Arabidopsis thaliana: one gene and its partners. The protein of the gene in region 3 interacts with the protein of the main gene of each other region in a pairwise test. Each region holds a gene or a part of one and is shown on either strand. Other genes may lie near its edges.

Region 1 (4,656 bases), on a different chromosome or scaffold from region 3:
CATTTGATCATTTTGATTTCAGATTGACACAAACCTTGGAAAAAAGGAGAGGAACGAAGCCAGAGGAGGAATTAGGAAGCGTTAGTTGATTTAAGAGGGGAATTGAAGAAGCTTACCTGCGACTGCGAGTGAAGGCGGCGAAGAGCGAGGAAGAACAACAAACGCCGTGAAGCTAGCTTTTTTGGGTTTGGGCCAAACGAGATTAGTTTCTAACAGATGTTTTTCCGGACCCGGACCGGTAATACCCACGATCCGCTTAATTATTTGGTCCCTGTCTAGCTCTAAAATCCCGGTGCAAACGAACCGGCAAAACCAACGACCTAGCGGTTCGGTATTTTGTTTCTGAAATCTGAACCCTCCGATTTGTTCTTCTTTTTTTTTTTCTTTTTATAATGCAAACAATTGATGAAAAAATATATTATGGTCCGAATGGTAACCTCGGTTTTTAATATGTGAGAAAAGTGGTATAACATTGCAGTACAGTTCAATTACGGTACGTGCGAGAAAAATATATTTGCGGGACAAATATGGTTTGTACAAAATAAGCGGTACAGAATAATGTTTGATTGATGAAAAAATTATTTGCGGTGCGGATTATAAATTATATATATATATATATATTAATAATTAATTATTATTTTTGTGTTAATAAATAAGCAATAACATATATTTATAAATTATTAATACATAAATAAATCAAAATATACATTTTTAAAGTTTAACATACATATTATTAAATTCGTTGAATAGTTTCATCATAAAAAATTGAAAAAAAAATCATAATTTTTTACTAGTAAATTGATTATAGAACTTATATAAGCTTATAGTGGATAATAATTGTCAAAATTTCTATAAGTATTATGATATTTCTATTTCTTGTAATTACATTTTCTTAGATTTTAATTAAATAAAAAGAATAAAACTATAATTATTGCATATATATATATATATATATATATATATATATATATATATTAAAGTCCATTAGTTAAGCAAATTGTTATGTCCTACGTATATTTTTTTCTTTTATGCACTAGGTAACTAGTGATTCTGATGCACACATATACTCTCTTTTTTTGTACATATATTTAAATGGGGAAGCTAATGGAAAAAAAATTAAAATTTGCTTAAGTAATGGAGTAATAAACGAGGGATGTGTGTATGGAAGAGGCAAAGGCTGAGAAACTTTTGGTTGGGACGTAGGACATAACAATTTGCTTAAGTAATGGAGTAATGAACGATTTTTTTGTTGGAATGCGGTTTTGAGCAAAAACACTAGGTAAATGATTTTTCTTCTTTTGAAAAGCATTCCAGTGTATTGTTTTTAGGACAAAATTGCAAACTTTTTTCTTTTTTTTTTCGAAAAACGCAAATTTGTTAAAAGTATTGATTGGTAACTGTATTGTAGTTTTAATAAAAAAACAAGAAAACGCCTTTTGTATGTTTCTTAATCACAGTGTATGAATGGTGACATAGACCGCCCCCAAAACCGTACCGTAACTGTAACAGTATAAAAAATCTCTATATATACATATATATCTATGTATTTTTGTTATTATTTGAACCGTCCCATACTTTTTCCGTATCACAAAATACAGTCATCATTCGAACCGCAAAACTATATATAGTATTTCGGTTTTTGAATTCAAAATGAAGGAGAAGAGGAATAGGCAGATTAATATAATTTCGTTATTTCTTTTTAATTTCCTATCTTCAATTTTTCCTCACCCACTGAATTTGACTATGCCATTAAAAATGTGTATACTAATCATCATACCGTCAATAAATAGAGTTTGTGGGAAACACACGACAGACACGTCATCAGCTCTCGACGGCGCGTTTCCATGCCTTTATTATCCTTCACGTTGACCCCACATGCCCCTGTTTTTTTTTTTTGGTGTTCTACGGTATATTTTTGTGAAAATGTTACTTTTCATCTACTCGATAAAATTCTTAAACAGATAGTACAACTTTTTACCCGATTAATCTGTAGAAAATACAATGTTATTTACACTCAACAAACATTTCCATTAATAGAACTTTACCCGATTTAAACCACTCTTCCACTCGATTAATATTATTATTTTATTAATTAAAGATACGATGACGTGTCCATGAGAGATGAGCTTTAGTGGCACGCAACGTAAGAGAAGAAGACAAAAGTAAAAAAGAGAAAGGCACATGTCGAACTCACGTGTCCACTTAAACGCACCACCTTCTTCTGTGCTCTCCACGCGCCTCCACACGCCCTCCTCAACTTCGGACCTTCTTCCTCCAAAAAAAACAATTTCACTCTTCATTTTCTCAGATTCTCTTATTATTTCTTCTACTCGTTTCGAATCCTAATCGTCTACAGTTTCCGACGAGATTCTCACCGGAGAAAGAAAGGTAGTTCTTTTCTCTGAATCTGTTGTGTTGAGAACTTAGCCGTAATTTTTGAGAATTATTCTTCACTATTTGATTTGACAAGAATATGGGTAATAAAGACAGAATCTAAAACACTTGCTTCAGTTTTTGAGGAATCAAAAATCACACGAAAGTTTTTTTTTTTTTTCTGCTCCTATGTTTCTTGGTGCGTTTGTGTTTATTTGACATTAGGAGTGATTGATTGATTATAAAGATGAATGATTTGTTAGATTCATTAAGATCACTGTTCTTTTTGATTAATCATCTTATGTCTAAATTTTAGGTGACTTGACAGAGAATCTTGTTCTGTAATAAAAGCAAAGATGGTATCGAAAACTCCTTCTACATCGTCTGATGAAGCAAATGCTACTGCAGATGAAAGGTGATTCTTAAGGAGACAATTCTTGGAAATAGATTATGGAACCTTTTATTTTTATTTATGGGGATTGATTATGTTTGGTGTATAAAACAGATGTAGAAAAGGTAAAGTACCGAAAAGGATCAACAAGGCCGTTCGTGAGAGGCTTAAGCGTGAGCATTTGAATGAGCTTTTCATTGAATTAGCCGATACTCTTGGTAAATTTCTCATCTTTCCGTAGATTTGAATGAACAATTGCTCGAGTGTGTTGTGATATTTTGAATGTGATTGTGATATCTAACTGTGAACATGTTTCTTTGTTGCAGAACTGAATCAACAGAACAGTGGGAAAGCTTCTATACTATGCGAAGCTACTCGATTCTTGAAGGACGTGTTTGGTCAAATTGAGTCTCTTAGAAAGGAGCATGCTTCTCTCCTATCTGAATCTAGCTATGTAAGTCAATTTCTATATGCACATTGATTGTGTTTATGTATTCTGTGACGTGAATCAACAACTAAGACGAATGTTGCTTCAAGAAGTTACTTCATCTTTGTATTTTTCTAAATGGTCTTGTTGATGGAAACTGGTGTTGTGTGTAGGTAACCACAGAGAAGAATGAGCTCAAGGAAGAAACATCAGTGCTTGAGACTGAGATTTCGAAACTACAAAACGAGATTGAAGCTAGAGCGAATCAGTCGAAACCTGACTTGAACACCTCTCCTGCACCCGAGTACCATCATCATCATTATCAACAACAACATCCTGAACGTGTATCTCAGTTCCCAGGACTTCCCATTTTCCAAGGCCCCGGCTTTCAACAATCTGCTACAACTCTTCATCCTCCTGCAACAGTTCTTGTCCTTCCAATACAACCTGATCCCCAGACACAAGATATCTCAGAAATGACTCAAGCGCAGCAGCCTTTGATGTTTAATAGCTCAAATGTGAGTAAGCCATGTCCAAGGTATGCTAGCGCGGCTGACTCGTGGTCTTCTCGGCTACTTGGAGAGCGGCTGAAAGCCAGTGAATGAGGTCTTGAACGGCTCCACATGGAGTAGCAACGCAAGTTATAAGACATGGCAACTTATGAAGGACTCTGGTTTTGTATTTTTTAATACATCGTTCTGATGTCCTTGTGGGTTTGGCCTTGGCTATTTCTTGTTTTTGATGGTTGTTCATAGGATCAGGAAGTTATGGCCTTGATGGGTCGTTTGAGATAAATAAGTAAATTAGCTCTAACCATTGTCATTTTCTTTTGTCTTAAGATTCTAAAAACACAGAAACAGAACAAAAAAAATCAAATTTCTTTTTAAGAAAAAAGCTTTCTAATGGAAACTAAAATGTGAAATTGGGTTTAAAAGACAAAACCGGTTAATAGGTTTTGGTTTGGATTGGATAAAGAATATGATGGTATTTTGGTAAAATAGGCACTTGAGAAAAAGAGAAGTGAGAGGAGCCATCTTATCTTTGCTATCGAGTGGGTAAGAAGAATCAGAAAACAGAAAATGGCGAATTCACTATGCTTCTTCTCTTCTCCTCCTACCTTTTGCTTCCAATCTCCAAGCAAAAACCCTAAACCTTCTCACTTCTTCTCAACTAATGATAACACCTCTTCCTTGGTACAGAAGAGAGAACTGCTTCAGACTTCAAGATCCCAAAGTTTTGAAGTTAAGGTTAGAATTTTCCCAAACTCTTCTCTTCTCTATAAAATTTGCTTACTTCATTGACCATTTCGTTAATGCAAAATCTCATTCTGTGGTATCAATAGGCCGCAAACAATAATCCTCAGGGCACTAAACCAAACAGTTTAGTTTGTGCAAATTGTGAAGGGGAAGGTAAGTTCTTACCTGTTTTATAATTCTCTTAGTTTTCTACTCCTGAATTGGTTAGT
Region 2 (3,505 bases), on a different chromosome or scaffold from region 3:
GTTTTAATCAATGTCCATATAAATTAATGTTTGTGTTTAATATTGAGAATTTTGCAGATTAAGATCATGGGGAGAGCGTACGCTGAAATATCAAAATGGGCACGAGCAGGTCACGTTCCAACCTTTGATGACTATATTGAGCTTGGGCTTGACTCGTCAGGGATTAGATGCTTTGCAATGTACAGCTTTATATCGATGGAAGATTGTGAGGAGAATCAAACGAACGCGTGGTTCAAATCCAAACCCAAAATGTTACGAGCTTTAAGTGTTATATTTCGTCTTACAAACGACATAGCCGGCTTCGAGGAGGAGATGAGGAGAGGAGAAGTGGTTAATGGGGTGAACTGTTACGTTAAGCAACATAATGTTACCAAGGAATTGGCGGTTCGAGAAATTAAGAAGATGATTAGAGATAATTACAAGATAATGATGGAAGAGTTCTTGACGATAAAAAGTGTGTCACGTCCGATTCTGGTCCGGTGCTTCAACATTGTACGATTGGTCAATCTGTATTACGAGGAGGGTGATAATTTCACCAATCCCAATGGCAAGCTCAAAGATCTCATCACATCTTTGTTCTTCCATCCTCTTCCGCTTTGAAGACTTGGCTCCTTGCCGAAAAATTCATCTACATTTCTCTTTCCATTATTATTGATGATTGTTAATTTGCTCTATGCACATATTTTTCCATTAAATTTTAATTCCTGGGGTTTCAATTAGTTTTTACTATTTTAATTTATTTTGCATAGAAGTTTTTTTTATAACTTTCACTACCCACAACGACAAGGAAAGTTGACCAAAAGAATGAAATAATATCATAATTCATGTTTATATACGTTATACTATTCAATTCTTAATTCATGTTTATATACGTTAAACTATTCAATTCTTAATTATGTTTCTTTGCAAATAATATTAAATTACACACATGAGTTCTTGAACCAAGGAACGTATAAGTTCAAAAAATAGACTGGAAAGCAAAACTTTGTTATACTTGTTGAGTTCTTATGTAGGATCCAAATCTTGTAGATAAGCAACAATATATAATGGGCGGTGAGATTAAGACTGAAAGTATTTTTTTGACCACCGGATGGACCGTACGGATTTCCACAATTCGATACGGTGTGGTTGTTAGTGCCTTAGTGGCGGTGGTGACCATTATGCAGCCATTTAACTATTTAGGGTTGGAATTTGGCTCATGAGGTTTTACTACACATCAAGAAATTATTTGGAGACAGAGCATCGATCTTCTGCTGGTCGGGTTTTAGAATTTCATAAAATCAAATTTTGGTTAATTTAGATGGGTTTCTTTCCCCAATTCTTCGTTATGAACAATTCATTATTTTGGTCAACTTAATTGTCTATGACTCTATGGGCAGTTACATAATGTTACTATCATATTTGCTGTCAAGACTCTTGAGATATGGCATATATGGACTTTTGTACGAGAACCTAAAGTTCTAACCAACACATGATATAAAGGACTAATTGCTTTTCTTTTCATTTGGTCTTACAACAACAAAACACAATATACTACTTTGACTTAAAATAATTGATCTTTTATATGAAACACTAATTTATCTCAGTATGAACTATGAAATCTATTTCCTAGTTGAAAAGTTTAAATATTTTGAACTTTTTGATCAAGTTAAATATCTATAATCTAACTAAGGCCCAGAATATACCAAATATGAAATATATTTATCAAGGCCATGTCAATTTTCTTGGAAGGCATGTACAAAGTTTTTACTGAAAACATATTTGATGTGTAAAAAAATATTTCTAAAAAAATTTAGAACCCAAATCATATAAATATCAAACTTGTCTTCAATCAAAAAAATAATATTCAATCAGCGTTTTCTTTCAAATACACACAACACACTATTTGTACACGCTTAAAGACAGCTTTGCTAATGTACAATATCCATGTAAGTAATAGAGACCCATGCATGCATGACAGCATATTTCCACTTCACAAGTAACTACGTAGGAAGCTCACTTCACCTGAAACCAAACAAGCCATCCACAAATTCTATTCCCTCATTTATTGTCTTCTTTATTTCTCTATATATACAATTTCACTTAACCACTGACTCTATAACTCAAAACTTCTAAACTAATTCGCACAGTTCTATATACACTCACAAACACACACACACACAATATAGTGCTACTAAAATAACCTTGTATTAATTATGGAAAACACTTACGTTGGCCAACGAGATTACCGCTTCAACGTTAACCAGTTGTCCTACAGAGGCATTCGTCGGAGGAAATGGGGCAAATGGGTATCGGAGATCCGAGAACCCGGTAAGAAAACAAGGATTTGGCTTGGAAGCTACGAGACGGCCGAGATGGCTGCAGCGGCCTACGATGCTGCGGCTCTTCACCTCCGAGGACGTGGGACCAATCTCAACTTTCCGGAACTCGTCGACAGTTTTCCTCGGCCGGAAAGCTCTAGTTCGGAGCACATTCAAGCGGCTGCACAAGATGCAGCACTTATGTTTAAACCAGGTAGGTTGAGTGAACCAGCTCTCGAGTCTGGTCAAGGACTTTCTCGAGTAGGATTGTCTCCGGATCAGATTCAAGCGATTAATGAGTCTCCATTAGACTCGCCGAGGATGGGGTGGATGCAGGATTTGGAAGTTGCTGACTACGAAGAATTATACGGACAATTTTTTGGTCAGCACGATAGGGATGAGTTTTTTGAAATGCAGCAATTTCAGTCCATATGGAATTCTAATAATTGATATACGTTCGCTTAATTGCTTAACCATTTGATTTTTTTTTTAATAATGTCATATCATCAACCAAGGTTTTTCGATTATATTCAGTAAAGTATAATAAATTTTCGACCCTTACTGTTTTTCTTGGGTTCAATTTGTAATCTCTTAACAATGATGATGTCATAAATACCAATATGATTAATTCAAATTTTCAATATATATGTAATGTTTTGGTTCCTTGTCAGTCAGATAGTATCATATGGTTTATACGAGAAATAAATATAAACCAAGGAAAAAACTCAATCCAAGAAAAAAAAATGTTATCTTATAAAAACTTAGAAAAAAGGGTGGTTACCTTGTGCTTCGTCTTCGGTTTTCGTTGTGGTATTCGTTAAATTGGAATAAGACTAACTCCGAAAAATAGGTAAGATTATAGACCAAAAACCTGAAACTCCTATGGTTTATTAAAAACAAAATTATTTGATGAAAGTCCATTATGTAGACACATATAACCCATAATATATACACACGAGCTGACGTGCACGTACCAATTCGTACTATGGCCGCCTCAAAAGTACAGGTTTATTCCATATTATAGTGAGCATGAGTCCGTTGAAAAGCTTTGATTACCTAAAGATATACTATAATCAGTATCAATAACAACTGTTGCAGTCAATATTATATTAGTATGAAATGTTTTAATTGTCCCATACGTTCAGTTTTCTGTTAGGCCTAATTGCGTGAAATTATAAATTAAAGTTTTAATTAGATCATAATGT
Region 3 (4,113 bases):
ATGGCTTTCTTCACCTTACAATAAAAAAAACTCACCATGCTGTACGAAGTACGATATTGGAACTAAGTGGAGAGAACAATACACGCAACCCAACCTGAAAATTCCATTGAGAAAAACAATTGTTTCTCTCAATCCAAAAGTTGAGAATATCCACATGATCAGGAATTGAAACACCTCTTTCTCTAATCGGCTTTTGTCAAAGAGTAATCCAAACAAAAAAACAATCCAGTACAGAAGAAATCTGAATTCCAACAAGGCAGAAGATGAAGGAATCCTAAATATACATATTTAATCATAAACTTTATCACGAATCCCCAAATCACGGATCGGAACAAAAGCCGTACAATCGGAAACATCAATCAAACTAAAGGAAGATTACCTCGCCGGTGAGTCCAGATCCAAGAAGCGCCATGGATGGAATCTGTGAAGCAAACCCGCTCATCGGCGATTCGTACGACGGTTTTACCAAATTGACGACGAACTCGCACACTCGCAAAAAAAAGGTCACTTGTGTTTTGAATAGAGGAGATTATGAATCATTAAAAGACTCTAGCTCATACAGAGACTCTTCGTAAGAAATATTTTTATTTCTTTATTTGAAAGATAAACAGCAAAAAGAAAAGAGATATTAAAGGCGGTAAATACAATTATTCTATTCTATATCATATTGTTAAACCAAACCCGGTTTATCTAAAACCGCCAAGCTGATGTGGCAACAAGTGCTCTTCCATGCCAGCACAGCACCAATTCTCCTTGTCGTTTCGCCACGTGGAATCCTCTAACTTGCGCTTTCTCCAATAAACACTCAGCTTGAAAGTCGGCGAACTGGCTTAGCTGTATCGGCCTCATCCCGGCGGCGCAAAACGCTTCCCGCCAAGTCATTTCGCCGGTGTGTCTCCTGTCAGCCGCCGTTTCTACCGCAGCGGAGATCTTCGGTCGTAGAACGAACGCTTCCACTATCTTCTTCACCAAATCTCCGGGAGGAGCTGCAGCGTCGAGCGACTCCAGCACCATCGTGTAGAACTCAAGAGCGCTAACAAACTCTCGCCGGAATGATCCAGATCCGGCGATCTCCGTCCATCCTTCACTATCCACGAATACAACGACCTTAGGTGATACTCTCCGTAAATTGTTAACAAAATCAGTGATTCCACTTAGACGACGAAATATCGCCGGGGAAATCAAAACGACGGTCCTCTCCCCCTCAACAAACCTAATCGCTTTGAAAGATAACATCTCAAAAGTCTTCATCAGCACAAACTCAATCTGGAAACGAATTTTCATCTCCGCCGCGAATTGAGTTAGGTTTTCTTTCACTAGTCGCGTCTCTACGGCGCACTCCTCCGCCACCACTGCCGTAACTCTTAAAAATCCACCGCTTACAGATTTCTCAGTGATTTCTCTCATAAGCGATGCGTATTGGCCACCGAATCCAATCTCAAAATCCACCACGTGAACAAACGGAGAAGACGACTGCGAGCTCAACGAATCGAGTATCGCTTGATTCGCCGTGAAATGAGAGAAGAGAGGGATCGGAGAAATCCCGGAATATTCCTTAATCGCTCGGATCCTCTGAACAATCTCGGACCAAGAAGATAACCGGATTGGATTCCGGTTTGATCCGGTTAAAAACGAACCGAGAGCTTCCTTAAAGTAAAACGCAGCTCTCTGTAACGGTCTACCCGCCGGAGATCTCAAGCGTTGATTAAGCCGTGATAAAACCACCTGAGCGAGTTGTAACTCGTCCGATTCAACACAATCCACGACTCGGATGAGATCTTCAATGAAATCAAATCCTCCATTGTCGACACTATCAAGAGAATTAAAACCGTACCCAGTTGTTTGGTTCTGACCAGGATAAACATCGGAAGACGATTCGAAATCCGACGGTTGAATCTGATCGGGAAAGCCAGGGAGATTTGAATCGACGGCGTAAAGAGGCAAAATAGTAGAATCTGTTGTGGTTGTGGTGAAACCGGTTTTAAGTGAGTTAGGAGCAGAATCGTCATCAAGCTCCAATTCTTTCATGATGGAATCCCAATCCATTGAACGCATGACATGTTCGTCCATTGATAAGTGATTACTATCAGTACTATTAGTGTTGTTGTTGTTGTTGGTCGTGTCTTGAGGAGATGATGCAGGGATTTTCATGTGTTGTGTGTTAAGAAGAAAGAAAGGTGGAGCCTTTAACGAAAAGAAAAAAAGTTTTTTTCTTTCTGTCTTTTTTCTTTGTGTGTGGGAGAAGAAGAAGGTGGCGGGGCTTTTGAAAGGTGAGAGTGGTAAGCTTTTTATCTTTGAGTGAGTGCGTGCAAATAAAGAGATTTCAACTTTGGTAACCGTGTCTGATCCGGGTTTGTTTGGTTTTACAGAATAATATTTATACACGAAACAATCTGATTGACAATGATTTGTATATGATTCCGTTTTTTATTAATAACATACTATTTCACATGAAATTCAACTGAAAGATTTTAAATCAGTTTTTATTTTGTATTAATTTCTCATAATATATCTCCAAAACTATATACTATGCACAACTAGCAACTTCTGTAGCTAATGAAAAGGAAACTTCTACAGCTCTTTAAAGGGATAAAATACAAATAAAGTTCCTCTGCTTTAAAAATAAAAATAAATCATTTGATTGAAAAGAGATCCAAGCTCCACTATGTTGATCATCAAGAATGTGAAAGTTGAAAATAAAAGAGAAAAAGGATGTTTTAAAAAGGTTAATGATTTCTCTCTTTTTTTTGTCTGAGTGGTTTTTTTTCAGTCTTTTTCATCCTAAAATTTTAAACAGTATTTTACAAAAACATTTAACTGAAAGTTTTTTTTTATTACATATGACAATTTAAGTGATCAAAAATAATCTTTCTCAAACATAGCAGCACGGCTATATGTAACTATGTTGTACCTGAGTTTGAGATCAGCGTTAAAATATTTCATATTTGTGGATATTGTTTTCGATCATTAAATCTCATACGTTTTTGACCCAAGTATGGAGATAAATAAAAAACTATGAATCTGCGTTGATTATTCCAATAGGCAATAGGTATATCAACGTTTGGAATTTTTTTTTAAAAGTAGTTTGTGTTGGACAAAAATATTCTTACTAAACAAACTCTACAACGTCGTTTTTATTCTCACTAAACCTAGTTGTTAGTACCACACAAAATACAATATTATGTATTTATTTAGTACCGTGCATATATCACATAATAATCTCAAACTAGTTACAAAAGCTAGAGAGGTTTATTCGATTGATAACCAATAAAAAAGGGGAAAATTGCATGAAACAATTTGAGTCGATGATGTTTAACGGACACTAATCCCCGCTGCTTGCGACAAAAAACAAAGGAAAGGAAAAAGGGAGTGACCACTGGGCTTTATGTGGAGCCCACATAACACGGTAAAAAGCAGGGGGAAAGTAAGCGGGTCCACAATGGGCTAACTTTTGAGGTAATAATGTCGGAGAAAATGACCGAGAAGCCCATGGGCCAGAGATTGACTGATCATTAAGTCAGCGCGTAAGAATCACGCCCACTTCTTTCTTTTGCTTAGCCCCCCACTCTTCTCTCTAACTCGCAAAGGAAAAAGAAAGAATATGTTCTCTCCTTCACTTATTGCTTTCATTTTCATGGAAATTTACCTTCCTTTTTTGTTTTCTTTCTTTTCTATTTGGTTTGGTGTACCAGAATGCAAAACCATTTCCTCAATCTTTTGAATATACTCTCTTTTTTTTTTCCTTGTGTAATTAGGAATGTTTGATCATATTAGGTTAATAACTCACCATTTTCGCAAAATATGGCCTAGTTTGCGAAATTTAAACATCATATAGTTCTCGTGAAGAAAAGCTTCTTCTCATTGAGACATTATTCAACCTTTAATATCGTGGAGAAAAGGTTCCTCTCATTAATACACCTTTTTCCTAACATAATTCAACTTTTTTTCTTACATAAGTCTTCATCTGTGTTATATAATTTAGATTTTATGCGGTATAGCGGCTCAATTAACACACTAAAATACTAAAAGTTCTTTTTGTGGCAACTTTTTTTAGTTGTTTCTCATTAAATTAATGATTAAGCCCACATTTCTGTTATGTTTTAAAAATTTAAG
Region 4 (4,666 bases), on a different chromosome or scaffold from region 3:
ACTGATTACAACACAAGGTAAGCCATGCTAATAATTTTTTATTCTGTTTCTAGTACCTCTTAAAAGGTATATGCCTAAAAAACACAGTATTGGTATCGGTTTGCAGATATAGTGGAATAACAGCTGTGATGATGGAGGGAGTTACAACAACACTTAAAGATATTCAGGTTTCACTATTTCCTTTATAACGTCTTATTAGATACTGATTAGGATGTTTGAAATGAAGACTCGTAATGGTCTAGTATAATTAGAGTCGTTTGCTATGTTCAGGAAGAGTTCTTAAAGCTGGTTTTCAAAGAGACCATATTAGTCGGACACTCCTTGGAAAATGACTTGTTGTCTTTGAAGATCTCTCATAATCTGGTGATTGACACTGCAGTACTATACAAGCATCCACATGGAAGATCTTATAAAACTAAACTTCGAATTCTAGCAAAAAAGTTTCTTGCTAGAGAGATACAGGAGTCTGAATCCGGACATGACAGCGCAGAGGATGCAAAAGCAGCCATGGATTTGGCACTATTGAAGATAAAACATGGCAAGAACTTTCTATCCTTAACCTCGCTATTTAACTCTTGTTTTTATTTTCTATGTATCCTTTTTTAAGTGATTTTCTTTTCTGGCTTCCTCTAGGACCTGATTTTGGTTCACCACCGGAAGTGATAAGAAAAAAGCTCCTCGCCGTTTTAAATGAGAGCGGGAAAACGACTTCTATAATTGACAATATCAACATCGTGAAGCGATATGCTTCTGAGTCATCAAATGCAATTCCAGTTTCGTCTGACGACGAAGCACTTTCAAAGGCCGTGAAGGAGGTAAAAACTTCTGAATCCATTTTTATGCCTCTGTATTTCTCGCCAGCTACATAAAAGTAAAATGTATGTGTGTGTACGCTTCTAGGTAAAGAACAAGCGGTCTCAATTCGTTTGGACACAGTTCTCAGAATTGAATGCACATTTCCAGAGCAGAGCGGATGATCCACAGAAACTAAACTCCAGACTAGCCGAGATGATCTCATTGCTTACATGTAACAAAAAGTCCGGCCTTAAGAAAAGCAATGTCTCACCTGAAACAAAGGAAATCTTAAAGAAAATGAATGAAAGAGTCCAATCCCTTTATGCTGCATTACCTACAAATGCGATGTTTATAGTTTGCACCGGACACGGAGACACATCCATTGTACACAGGTTTGTAGCACTCTATCCAAATCGTAAGTGTTTAGACATTCAAATCTCTTCTGGATTTGGAATCTGATTGGATTTTCTTACTTTCTTGCAATATGAAGAGTGCGGAAAATGCTTAAAGATGAGGATGAAATCGGGTTTGACCGTGAGAAACTTGTCAAGGTTCTTGAAGAGCTTCAAGCACAAGCCGAAGTAGCTCTCTGTTTTGTAGGTATCAAGCAATAAACTTAAACAGAAAGCCAAATTTTTTCCCTTGTATACCATATGAGCAACAAGAAACTCACAATTCAGTATTGTATTTTTTGGTAATATTGGTTTGTAGCATCTATTAATGGCGATTTTCATATAGTAAAAAGAGTTGACATTTCAAGTTTGTTTACAGTAATAAAAAGGTAAAAAAAACGGCCAATTCCAGCATGAATTTACAGAAAATAAATCCAAAACAAATATAAAATTTAAATTCGGAAAAACCTTAACCGGTCGGTTATCATAAACCAAGGAAAAAAAAAAACAATACCACCGCACGTGTAAAACACTCGGAGTCTCTCTCCTTTAGCGCCAAATTCCGCTCGTATCCTCTAAAAACCTAGATCGATCTTAATCAAACGATCTAAACCGTCGATTAACCCCTTTTCATCTCAACCGTTAGATTTTGTTGATCAAACTCTCATCAAAATTCAATTTTTTGATTTTTCAAAAAGATCTCAAAGAGACGACGACGAAGCAAAAGAAGAAGAAGAAGAAGAGAGAGCTATTCAAGCTTAAAGCATAAAACAATCTCTGCTCCTTATATAGTTCTTCACTATGGAAGATTTGAGTAATCAGAATCTCCTCCCGCGTCAATCAGATATCTCCATCCCTGCGGAGAAGATGGATTCGTTTCAAAAGTCGCTAGAACCTCCGCCGTGTTCTCCGGTGAAATCTTCTCAACAATCAGAAACGGAAGTCACACCGCCTCAGAAACCACCGCTTCACCAATTTGGTCACAACCAAGTTCAGAAGAATCGAGTGAGGTAAAAATTGGTTAATTTCTCTGTTCCATCAAATCTATTTCAATCTTAAGGAATTAGCATTTTTGATTGTTTGATTATGTAGCAATCAAGATCCATCGACCTCACGAAGACATAATGAAGTTGAATCGAAAGAGAATACTCCAAATAAACAACAAAAACATTGCAATTGCAAAAACTCAAAGTGTTTGAAACTGTAAGTATCTATTTTTGTTAATAGAGTTTAAAAACATATTTTTGTTTATACAGAGTCTTGTTGATCTATATAGGTATTGTGAATGCTTTGCTTCTGGATCTTATTGTAATGGTTGTAACTGTGTGAATTGTCACAACAAATTGGAGAATGAGTCTTCGAGACAAGTAGCTATCTCGGGGATCTTAGAGCGTAACCCTGATGCGTTTAAGCCCAAGATTGCTGGTAGTCCTCATGGAATGAAAGATTTGCAGGTTTGTGATCTTGTTACTTGAAAAAAAAAAGATGTAACTTTAGGGCTTGATGGTAGTTTTATAACTTGTAGGAGAATGTGCAGCAAGTGTTGCTTATTGGAAAGCACAGCAAAGGATGCCACTGCAGGAAATCAGGATGTCTCAAGAAGTACTGTGAGTGTTACCAGGCGAATATTCTATGTTCGGAGAATTGTAGATGTCAAGACTGCAAGAACTTTGAAGGAAGCGAAGAAAGAAAAGCTCTTCTTCATGGATCTCAGGTCTCGGATACCTACATACAACAGATGACCAATGCGGCTGTTAACCGTGCCATCGACATGTCTGCTTATCTGTACCCTCCTGAATCAAGAAAGAGAAAGAGCAAGGACATTTCAGATTCTGTAGTTTCATCATACGGTGTCCAATACCAGAGGGTAAATAGTACAATTCTGTGTTGATCTCATGGTCTTTAGCTTCAGTTTTTGCATTGAAAGCATAATTCTTTGTGTTTTTCTATTTCCAATTAGGCAAACCACGTTAGAAGAAATGGTGAAAATTCTCTATTTTCACTCCCTAACAACAAGGCCGTGTCCGGATCTACCACAAGTGCTTACAGGTTGGAAATATCAAACTCATCTTCTCTATGATATTGCCTATTTGAAACTACCGTGATACCTGACTAATGGCTTCTATAGGTCTTCTTGGTCAAATACATTCCAACCACATCATGTCAGAGAGCTATGTTCACTTTTGGTCTCAAACTCGGTTGATGTAGCAAATAAATTGTCAGGTACATATCATGCCGTTAGATGTACAAGATGATAGGTTAACGTTCCTCATATAATAAGGTCTTTGATAAGAGAATGTTTGTTATGGTGAAACAGACAAAGGGAGGAAGAACGACAAAGGCCCTTCTTCACTTGATGGAGCCCAAAGAGTTGCTAATGAGATCAATGACTCACCAGATTGTGTCCTTGATGCTAATAGAATGGACGAGAAGCCTATATCTCCCGCAACACGTGCATTGATGTGTGACGAAGAACATGAGATCGGGTCAGAGAAAGAGACATCGGCCCGAGTGAAAACAAGCCAAGAGAAAGAAGACACAGACACAAGCTCGGGGATTTACTTAGAGCAAGAAAGACAGATATTGTCAATCTTCAGGGACTATCTCATTCAGCTCTCAAACCGTGCGAGGATAAATGGTAACCTTGATATCGTATCCTTGTTCAGATATTTACAAGTAGAGGATTGTGCTAATTTAAGACATTATTTTAAGCAGGTAAAAATATCAAAAGCAACACAAATCCAAGTTGAAAGAAACCAGAAGATGAAGAACAAAGCCATCGAGACTCAAATTAGGGACATTGCTTAGGGAATTTTTTTGATTTTTTTTTTAGGATCATACTCATTTTTAACATATGATCCATGTCACATTTTAAAAAAATAATTAGGAAGATTAGACATAATTAAAATTTAAAAATGGTTTGAAGTTTATGAGTGAAAATTGTCACTACTATATCGCAAAACAGAGAATCGAAGATAATGGGCTTTGCATCGTTGTTTAGTTGATAATGGGCTTTGGAATAATAAAGGTCCAATCAAATTACATGACCCGACCCGACCCGTCCGAGAAAAATATTCTGTCTTCTTCATCAATCAACGGTTTAAGACTTAACACTGCAAACAAAACTCAAAACCCTAGGCACACACTCTCTCTCTCTCTCTATCCTCAAAGCTTCTTCTTCCTCGATATCGATTGAGAGAAACTTCGTTCTAAGATTCGAAATCATGGCGGCGGTTGTTGATATTGATGTCCTAACAGCTCAGTTAGGGATTAATTGGTCAGATGTTAATCTCGATTCAATCCAACTTCCTCCTGGAAACGACTTTGGGATCGAAAGGTGAGATTTTTTCCATTACATCTCTGCTTCTATTAGAATCTTCGTTTCAAATCTGAGAAATCGCTTAGTATTTTGAACTGATTGCGTTGATTTGTTTCTGTGGTGATTGGGTAGTGATGATGAAAGTGTTTACCAAGATGAC

What was found.
Region 1: the proteins of HAM4 (region 3) and PYE interact in a two-hybrid assay, tested with the Arabidopsis thaliana proteins (one large-scale study listed by BioGRID).
Region 2: the proteins of HAM4 (region 3) and AT1G33760 interact in a two-hybrid assay, tested with the Arabidopsis thaliana proteins (one large-scale study listed by BioGRID).
Region 4: the proteins of HAM4 (region 3) and AT5G25790 interact in a two-hybrid assay, tested with the Arabidopsis thaliana proteins (one large-scale study listed by BioGRID).

Annotation. Positions count from the first base shown.
Region 1 is NC_003074.8:17,565,306-17,569,961, forward strand, and holds PYE (basic helix-loop-helix (bHLH) DNA-binding superfamily protein), read left to right. Parts: upstream 1-1,820; 5' UTR 1,821-1,897; exon of another isoform or gene 1,898-1,899; intron 1,900-2,170; exon of another isoform or gene 2,171-2,388; intron 2,389-2,540; 5' UTR 2,541-2,572; intron 2,573-2,689; 5' UTR 2,690-2,729; coding exon 2,730-2,788; intron 2,789-2,878; coding exon 2,879-2,982; intron 2,983-3,090; coding exon 3,091-3,218; intron 3,219-3,364; coding exon 3,365-3,796; 3' UTR 3,797-4,080; downstream 4,081-4,656. Other genes in the region: AT3G47650 (DnaJ/Hsp40 cysteine-rich domain superfamily protein), read left to right, coding at 4,271-4,438, 4,534-4,600.
Region 2 is NC_003070.9:12,235,749-12,239,253, forward strand, and holds AT1G33760 (Integrase-type DNA-binding superfamily protein), read left to right. Parts: upstream 1-1,798; 5' UTR 1,799-2,195; coding exon 2,196-2,750; 3' UTR 2,751-2,962; downstream 2,963-3,505. Other genes in the region: AT1G33750 (Terpenoid cyclases/Protein prenyltransferases superfamily protein), read left to right, coding at 58-600.
Region 3 is NC_003075.7:17,304,098-17,308,210, reverse strand, and holds HAM4 (GRAS family transcription factor), read right to left. Parts: upstream 2,454-4,113; 5' UTR 2,152-2,453; coding exon 691-2,151; 3' UTR 563-690; downstream 1-562. Other genes in the region: HVA22K (HVA22-like protein K), read right to left, coding at 36-94, 380-442.
Region 4 is NC_003076.8:8,976,504-8,981,169, reverse strand, and holds AT5G25790 (Tesmin/TSO1-like CXC domain-containing protein), read left to right. Parts: upstream 1-1,880; 5' UTR 1,881-1,988; coding exon 1,989-2,197; intron 2,198-2,279; coding exon 2,280-2,390; intron 2,391-2,463; coding exon 2,464-2,641; intron 2,642-2,712; coding exon 2,713-3,054; intron 3,055-3,147; coding exon 3,148-3,236; intron 3,237-3,315; coding exon 3,316-3,410; intron 3,411-3,504; coding exon 3,505-3,995; 3' UTR 3,996-4,113; downstream 4,114-4,666. Other genes in the region: AT5G25800 (Polynucleotidyl transferase, ribonuclease H-like superfamily protein), read left to right, coding at 1-17, 107-167, 271-538, 634-815, 901-1,187, 1,286-1,409; EIF3B-2 (eukaryotic translation initiation factor 3B-2), read left to right, coding at 4,412-4,524, 4,639-4,666. UniProt on the Arabidopsis thaliana protein: Plays a role in development of both male and female reproductive tissues.